2 linked regions of the Schizosaccharomyces pombe genome follow. The protein of the gene in region 1 interacts with the protein of each later gene in a pairwise test. Each region holds a gene or a part of one and is shown on either strand. Other genes may lie near its edges.

Evidence for each region.
Region 2: the proteins of SPOM_SPCC576.02 (region 1) and ceo5 interact in a two-hybrid assay, tested with the Schizosaccharomyces pombe proteins (one large-scale study listed by BioGRID).

The regions. Positions count from the first base shown.
Region 1 is NC_003421.2:2,079,940-2,083,697, reverse strand, and holds the start of SPOM_SPCC576.02 (hydantoin racemase family protein), read right to left. Parts: upstream 1,992-3,758; 5' UTR 1,829-1,991; intron 1,787-1,828; 5' UTR 1,052-1,786; coding exon 341-1,051; 3' UTR 1-340. Other genes in the region: SPOM_SPCC576.19C (uncharacterized protein), read left to right, coding at 2,092-2,451; alpha-ketoglutarate-dependent xanthine dioxygenase Xan1, read left to right, coding at 3,036-3,758.
Region 2 is NC_003424.3:4,873,384-4,877,141, reverse strand, and holds the start of ceo5 (TTC27 family TPR repeat-containing protein), read right to left. Parts: upstream 1,756-3,758; 5' UTR 1,568-1,755; coding exon 1-1,567. Other genes in the region: glutaredoxin Grx1, read right to left, coding at 2,183-2,316, 2,440-2,537, 2,706-2,758, 2,853-2,873.

The DNA.
Region 1 (3,758 bases):
TACAACAGTATAAACGAGATTGACTGCTTCCCAAAATGATTTTTTAAAAGGATGTTTGTAAATCTGCTTGTATCCAACACACTGGGCATACAGTGAAAAGTTATTCTTATGAAACCAATGTGTCAATACGCTTTGTAAACAATGACAGAAAAGAATGTATCAAGAGGTAATGGTTGTAATTATCACGTTATAGATAGGTATGTAATTATTGATATAAATCAAGAGAAAATGTATACGTATCCAGGAATATCAACCTTTGTCGTACACATTATTATGTGTGTGTATGTGATATAGCAGCATCAAACTGGTTTGCTAGATCTAAAAACATATGGACATCTCTTTATGGATACGTATAGATGCCAAACTTTGATGTATGAAGATTTTGACGAGCTAGGCCAGCAAGTAACTCAACAGCCGCATGTACACCATCAATGATGGGAATATTGGGACCTACGGCAACCTGAATCTGATCACGAATAGCTGCTAAAGCAGCACCACCTAAACAAATGACATCTGCACCCTTTGTGTTTGCCAGTTCTTGGGCCTTTTGGACAAGAAGGGTTTCACGCTCTTGTGAAGGCATTTGCGAAAGTTGCAAAACTGTGCGACCTGTAGAAGCAATGGCGGCCACTCGAGTGCGCGAAACACCAAAAGAATCGAGTAATTCGTAAAGCAAACATTCGGAACGATATGTACTTGTAAGGATGCCGATGCGCTGACCAACCGATAAGGCACTGAGGACAGACGCTTGCACAATGCCCATGCAGGGTAAAGCAAATGACTCACGAATCATGTCGACTAGAGGAGTGGGGGAATAACAGGCAACAGCTATAGCATCGACACCATCCAAGACACTAGGAGTTAGGGCTTGGAAGACTAGAGCAGCTGTCAAGGTTGCCTCTGTGATGGAGTCGATGACAGCAGCACCGGGTTGAGGACAAGTTAGAAAGCGCAACTTTACATCTGAAGGCACTAGGGGAACGAGTTTTTCTTCCATGGATGTTGTGATGAAGGTGGAAGAGTTTGGATTGATGACGAGAATGGTAGGCATGATGAGAGAAAATAGAAAGGTAAGAGACGAAGAGAAAGAAGGTAGAGAAGAGAAAGCGAAGAGAAAATAGTAAGAAAAAGAGCAAGCAAAGGGGAAATAGTAGAAAAAAAAAAAGTAAAAGAGAATGTTGAAGCTGAATTTACAGAGACACAAAAAATAATACAGTTTATTGGAAAATAAACCTTTTTTCTAAACTGTTTGTCAAAAACTAAAATTGAAAAACCAGTGTCACAATTTATTATAAAGTGTAGAAAATCGAGTTTCCAACAAAATGGCTTGAAAAACGAAAAATATTTTTAACAAGTAATGACTAAAATAGATTTGATCGTTTGTTTGGTTTTTGCTTATTTACTCTTAGTAGACTAGACTCGACTAGACAATCTATTTCAAGGTTGATGACTAAAAATGCTGTTTCAAGCTGCTGTAGACTGCAATTGAAATTGTCTACAGAATTGATAAGACGCAAATCAAGTGTAAGGGGTTGTTTGAGTAAACTTGGAAACTCCGTTTCCAAGTTGTTCAATGTGCACTCTGATAATGAACACAGTCGGACCCGAAGAGGAGATGAGACTGATGACTAGTAAACAGCGTCAGTGAGTAGCAGCAACGATGGTACTGATAGTATAGGTGATTGAAAAGTTTGTAGGACAATGTTGGATTGCTATGCTATACTTGAGCTGCCTTTGGAATGTTGGTCAAGCAAAGCACAAGCACCACTAACCACCAGACTTACTACTAGCGCTGTTAGGATTATGTAATTGAAATATTCTCATTTACCTGCAAAACGTTAAATCTTCTATATGCACTATCTCCCACTTTACTCTTTTACCGATTCTTTCCCACTCGTTCTACACTTGCAAACTCGAGTCCGAAGCCCGTTCCAACTCGCACCCTGTCCCACTAAAAATCGCACTCCAGAACATCGGTGCTTAGTCTTCTGGTCAAGAAATTTCCGCCGATTGTCTTAATGAATTCCCCTCAAACCTCAATTTAAGTCATCACCTAGACGGACGGGTGCGACTTGGGTATTCCCCCTATCGATGCCTACTTCTTCCAATGACCTTTACCAAACAAGACTTGATGTGCAGACGCCAAATCGATGGTTTCTTTACATTTCATTAGAATTGTTTAACAACATGTATTCTCCGTTTCGTAGCAGCTCAGTCTTACTCAGTGGTGCTCAGTCCGATATACCGAAGGTTGGCAAATGCTTGTTTTTGCCATGCCGCTCACTCGAATTTAGAGCATCGGCAAACTCACTTAGCGTACATTTCCTACTCAATGTAATTTCAGCAATCTTATCTATGTTGATAGAGAGGTATGCGGTAGAAGTGATAATGAGCAAAATTACATGGCCCAGGAGTAATGAGGATTGGAGGTTCCATGGTATAAAAGGTTGATGTGAATACCATGTTGTCTCATCAAATCAAAAGAAAAACTCACTGAAGAGAATCACACTGACCATTGTTCGTCTTGTGCTTCTGCTACAATTGATTTGAATTGAAGTTCATAATAATACCTGGGTGATACAACATCTACGTAAAGTCTTCAATTACTGCTACTCTCCGTAAAAACAACTAAATATTCGTAACTTTTCTCGCTGTCCCAGCTTGTTTACTTGCTCCGATAGCATTGTGCATTATTGACTTGTGTAAATTTCCTTTCAAATCTTAGTTTAATTTCGTTTTGAACAGCCAATACCCATCGTGTGTTGCTATAATCCATTGTTATAGATTTTCGAAAAGAAACAAACATTCGAAAACCACTCTACGCCATTGTTATCAATAAACGAAACGATTGTTGTGAATTTTCGACTTTTGCTCCTCTACTTGTCCAAAGTTGAACTCTACTAGTTTAAACGTTTTTAAGGTTATCAAGAATACCTTTTTTCTCATATTTTTTTTTCAATCCTCCTTTATTACTCGTTTCGTAAGAGAACCCATCTTGTTTCTTACCAACTTTTCTTTAAATTCTTCGTTCAATCATGTCTGCCACTGCTACTACTACGGTTGTGGAACCTCCTACCACCACTTTGACTGGTGCTACCGAGCCACCATTTACTGCTTATACCACTTCTCAAGGTCTTCGTGTTTCCCCTGTTCCATTGCCGGAACACAATACTGATGTTGGATTTGGTGCTTTGATCGAAAATGTTGACTTGAATAACCTCTCGGATGAACAATTCGAAGATATCCGTAAGGCTCTTTTCGAACATCAAGTGGTTTGTTTCCCCAATCAACACAATTTACCCCCAGAGACTCAGTACGCTATCACCCATCGCTTTGATCCCGAGTCTTCTACCTATGGTCACGGCAATCGTACAAATCAGCAAAACAACAGCATCTTACATCCCGATTTGCACACCCTTCCCGGTGTTCCTCAAGTACAACTCATTGGTCATGGTGTTGTGAAGGATCATTACGGTCTTGAAGAGGTCCGACTTAAACATCCTCATCATCGAACTTTCCATCGTGATCCCATTTCTGAGGAGGAAGAAAAAGAAAAACAAGTCACCCGTTTTTATCGTTGGCATATCGATGCTGCCCTTTATGACTATAACCCTCCTGTAGTCACTACCCTTCTCGCCGTTAATGCTCCACAAGGCACCCAAACTCTTCGATATGATGATAAGTCTGGCCATGAGATGCCTGTTCCATTAGGTTCGACAGCTTTCGCCTCAGGCTATCGCATGTACGAATTGCTCACT
Region 2 (3,758 bases), on another chromosome or scaffold:
CCGGAGCAAATCTTTTACAGGATAACTCCCATGCTTCAACATAATGTTTTGGATTGTTTTCAATATCTCCGAGTAGAGTACGAAGTAAAAAATCATATGGATCATTTTCCAATTCTCGCTTTATTACTTGAACGGCCAGATCTTGACGATTAAGTGAACAATGGCACATCACAACACAATCCCACATTTGTAAACGTTCAAAAATTTCGAGGGCTGATTTGGTGGCACCAACAGAGATGAACCTTTCAGCCAATTCAGCTTCTAACTGCCATCTAGATGGCATCAGCAAATTATAAAAGTAATTGAGACGTTCTTTCAACGAGGCAGAGTTTTCTCCATCTTGCGGTTTTGGAAGGAAAGATCCCAAACCTTCATCGTTCTCTGGTTTATCTACACCTTCAGGTGATTTACCAAAACTCAATTGATCGTTAAGTTGATCTAACAATGCTTGCATTTGAAGAACACTACGTTCAACAGTTCGACTTTTAAACCCCTCGAGACGAGCACGTACAAGCAAAGCCATTGTATAGACAGACCAATTAACAGGATAAACCAAAACGCGCTCTGCGTAAGGCGCCATTTCTTCACGCGTAAGTCCATCATCAGGATTGTTATTCTTTATGATATGGCAAAATGCAAGTAATAGAGATGCGTCCAATGGATCAAGTTTCGAGGGATGATTGGGATCTTCGGATGACAAAATCGGATCAAGTTCTTCAGAAGGAGCCAATGATTTTTGATCTTCTTTAAAGGAGATTTTCTCCAAAAGAGTATCATCATTTAACTCAAATGTTATCGGTTGAGTGCTAGTTGATTTGTTCTGCTCGGTATCTTTGCATCGGTCTCTAGACTTTGCTAAAACAACTAGCTGCGAAGTATCAAACGTTTGGAATTTTGTGCGTCGACCAAGAGCACCAGTTAATTCAAAATGAAAGTCCATTACTTTTGCTGATTCCTTCATCAACTGCAGAGCTAAAGTATCACGACCGTAATAAGATTGTATGAGGCCCATTTCCATAGTAAACCGCCCTTGTAAATCTCGATCTAGTGAAGAAACATGACTACTCACGATATGCATGCCTTCCATTATTTGATTAAACAACTCTGAAACGTGCTCTTTAAGCATTTGTTGGTGCAAAAAATCAAGGCGAGCTTTATACCATATGTGCAAAGGATCTTTGCTATTTGCGTAGTTAAATAAAGTCTGCGAAAGTAAAAGAAATAAAAGTTTTGGTGCAAGTCGATAAGGCCTTTCTCCTTCCACAGTTAAACTTTTTATAATGGCATCCTTTAATGTAGCCTCGTCGCGTAAACGCTGTGGAAGCCATATTTCAGGCTTAATGGGAAGATATGGTCCAGTATAATTATTCTGAATAAAATATTCCAACATCTGTATTGCAGTCTCAGCGAATTGATCACTGCTGACATTTTTCCCTAGCGGCTTTGAATCCCAATATTTGAACAAAAATTTAGGAATGTCAATACTAGGACAGAAAAACTGATCATATTCTTCTGTGCTTTTTAGAGAACCTCCAAAAAGGACCTCTTTATTTTCTATTGCTACCATTGTTTGGCAAAACTGAAAATTTTTGATTCAACAAATATATTTTCAGACAATCAACCTATTAAGCATTTATCCCGTCTAATAGTGGAATTTCTGTATTTAAAACAAAAAGGAAATCAATTCAATTCAGTAGTGAGTAAGGAAAATAGCTATTTTTTAGTTTGCTACTACAGGAATTGAAGATTGGAGTTGGGAACTCTGACTAATGTACCCAGAAATTTATAAAACCCAATTTTCAAGAATAGGTTCAGAAACTCTTCGAATTTACAGAGGTCTAATGATAAAGGATAAAAATGGCATTAATATTCCTTGATTTTGTTTTACCAGTTCAATAATTAAATTTTCAAAAATTTAAATCAGCTAGTACAAATTGTGCACAGATGAGTTACTTAATAAAGTAATCGAAAAGAGCAGTATTTCTCGAGTGATTTATTACTCAAAATAAAAGCAAAATTTATGTGCTATGTTGTAGTTAGTAGCTAGGAAAAACAGCTGCATCTAAGTTCTATCATTAGCTTTAAAATACCACAGATTTAGATTTAAGAGCTTTATAATACAGGTTTCTTCAGTTTGAGATATGTAATTTAAAGAAAAAAATTTATTGCTCATAGAATTTCATTAGGCAGTATTAAAAAGAGAGTCGAGCTCGCCCTTCTTGAATAATGCTTGGAAATCCGAGTTACCACCAACATGCTTTTGGTGAATAAAGATATTGGGTACGGTACGTTGACCGGTCTTCTTCAATAAGTAAGCTAATCAAGGAGGTTAGTATGCTTTTTTTTATACCATCCATTTTATACAGACTCAAGGTCTATTATATTATAGACAGATCTAAACTAGCATCAAGCAAAACAACAGATGCAATAAAAACTTACATTGAATCTCATCACCGTTGTTCATAAGGTCAATCTGGTATACCTGAGCCTTAATTTTCTTATCAGCGATCACCTTTTCAGTAGCATGGCAGTAAGGGCTAAAATTAAGAGTTAATATCACTGCTTAACAAAAAAAATTAAGTAGTCGGTTCTAGGCATATGGAAGTGTAATTTGTTAAAACAAAAATACAAGCGTTCAAACTATGGTAAGCCAGTGTGACAAATACACGCCCTTATGCAACGATTACTTTACTAAGCAAACGTACCAGTAAGACTTGGCAAAAACAACAACATCGTTGTCAGCAACGGCAGAGTCAACCTATACAGAAATGTTAGTACCCTGTAAAAGAACATTTTACCAAAATTCAGCGACATTGTGGTTAATCTCTGATTCTAGCCAAACGGATACGTACAAATGATTCAACACTAGACATGGTTCTAATAACGTAACAAACAAAAACCTTTAAATTTGGTGGTATGTGGTAGGCAGATATGTATTATCAGTTGTGTATTATATATATGTGCATGGTTTTCCATATTGCTAATTCATACGTCAGTGGAGCACGTATCCCTAACGTTAGAAAAGTCTAGTAGACTTATACGTTAGTAAACGGTTCAATAACCGAAAGACTAGCATATGGCAGGGAATATAATGAATTTTATGATTTTTATTATTTTTTTTTTAAAACCGCCTATAATGATTTCGTGCAGAGAATTGTACTAGTTGGATGTTTTCTGTTCTGTATGACTTGTTTATTCTAGCGACTTAGCGTGCTTTGCATTGTTATGAATAATAAGACTAAATGATTGCGATTTCGAATAGATTTCATTTATTTACAAATCTTATGAGCTCTGGCTACAACAATTAATTAATTAACGGATTTAAAGTGCATAGAAAAAAAAAGGCTAACCTATTTTTATAATTGCGTATGTTTAACTTGAATTTTCGTTATCTGTTAAGTAATAACAGTCAATCAATTGAAATAAAAATTGTGAATTGAGACCAAATATACCTTCATCGAAAAACCCTGCTTAAAATCTTTTTATTATCTATTTTAGTTTTCTGTGTCGATTTGTTACGCTAAACCATTTTTAAGCTTCTAATAAAGCAATGATATTACCTTGCTCAAAAACATTTGCTCTTGATCAACTTAAGCTATGTTGCCTACCCATTGACATGAACGTCAACAATTTAGCTAATTAGATAAACTAATGATTTACTATTTTCCTTTTTAGAAAAAAATTCTGGAAAATAGAGCTGTAAATCAATTAGCATTTTAAATACATGATTCGATGTTTCATCTGCTAACTTTAATATA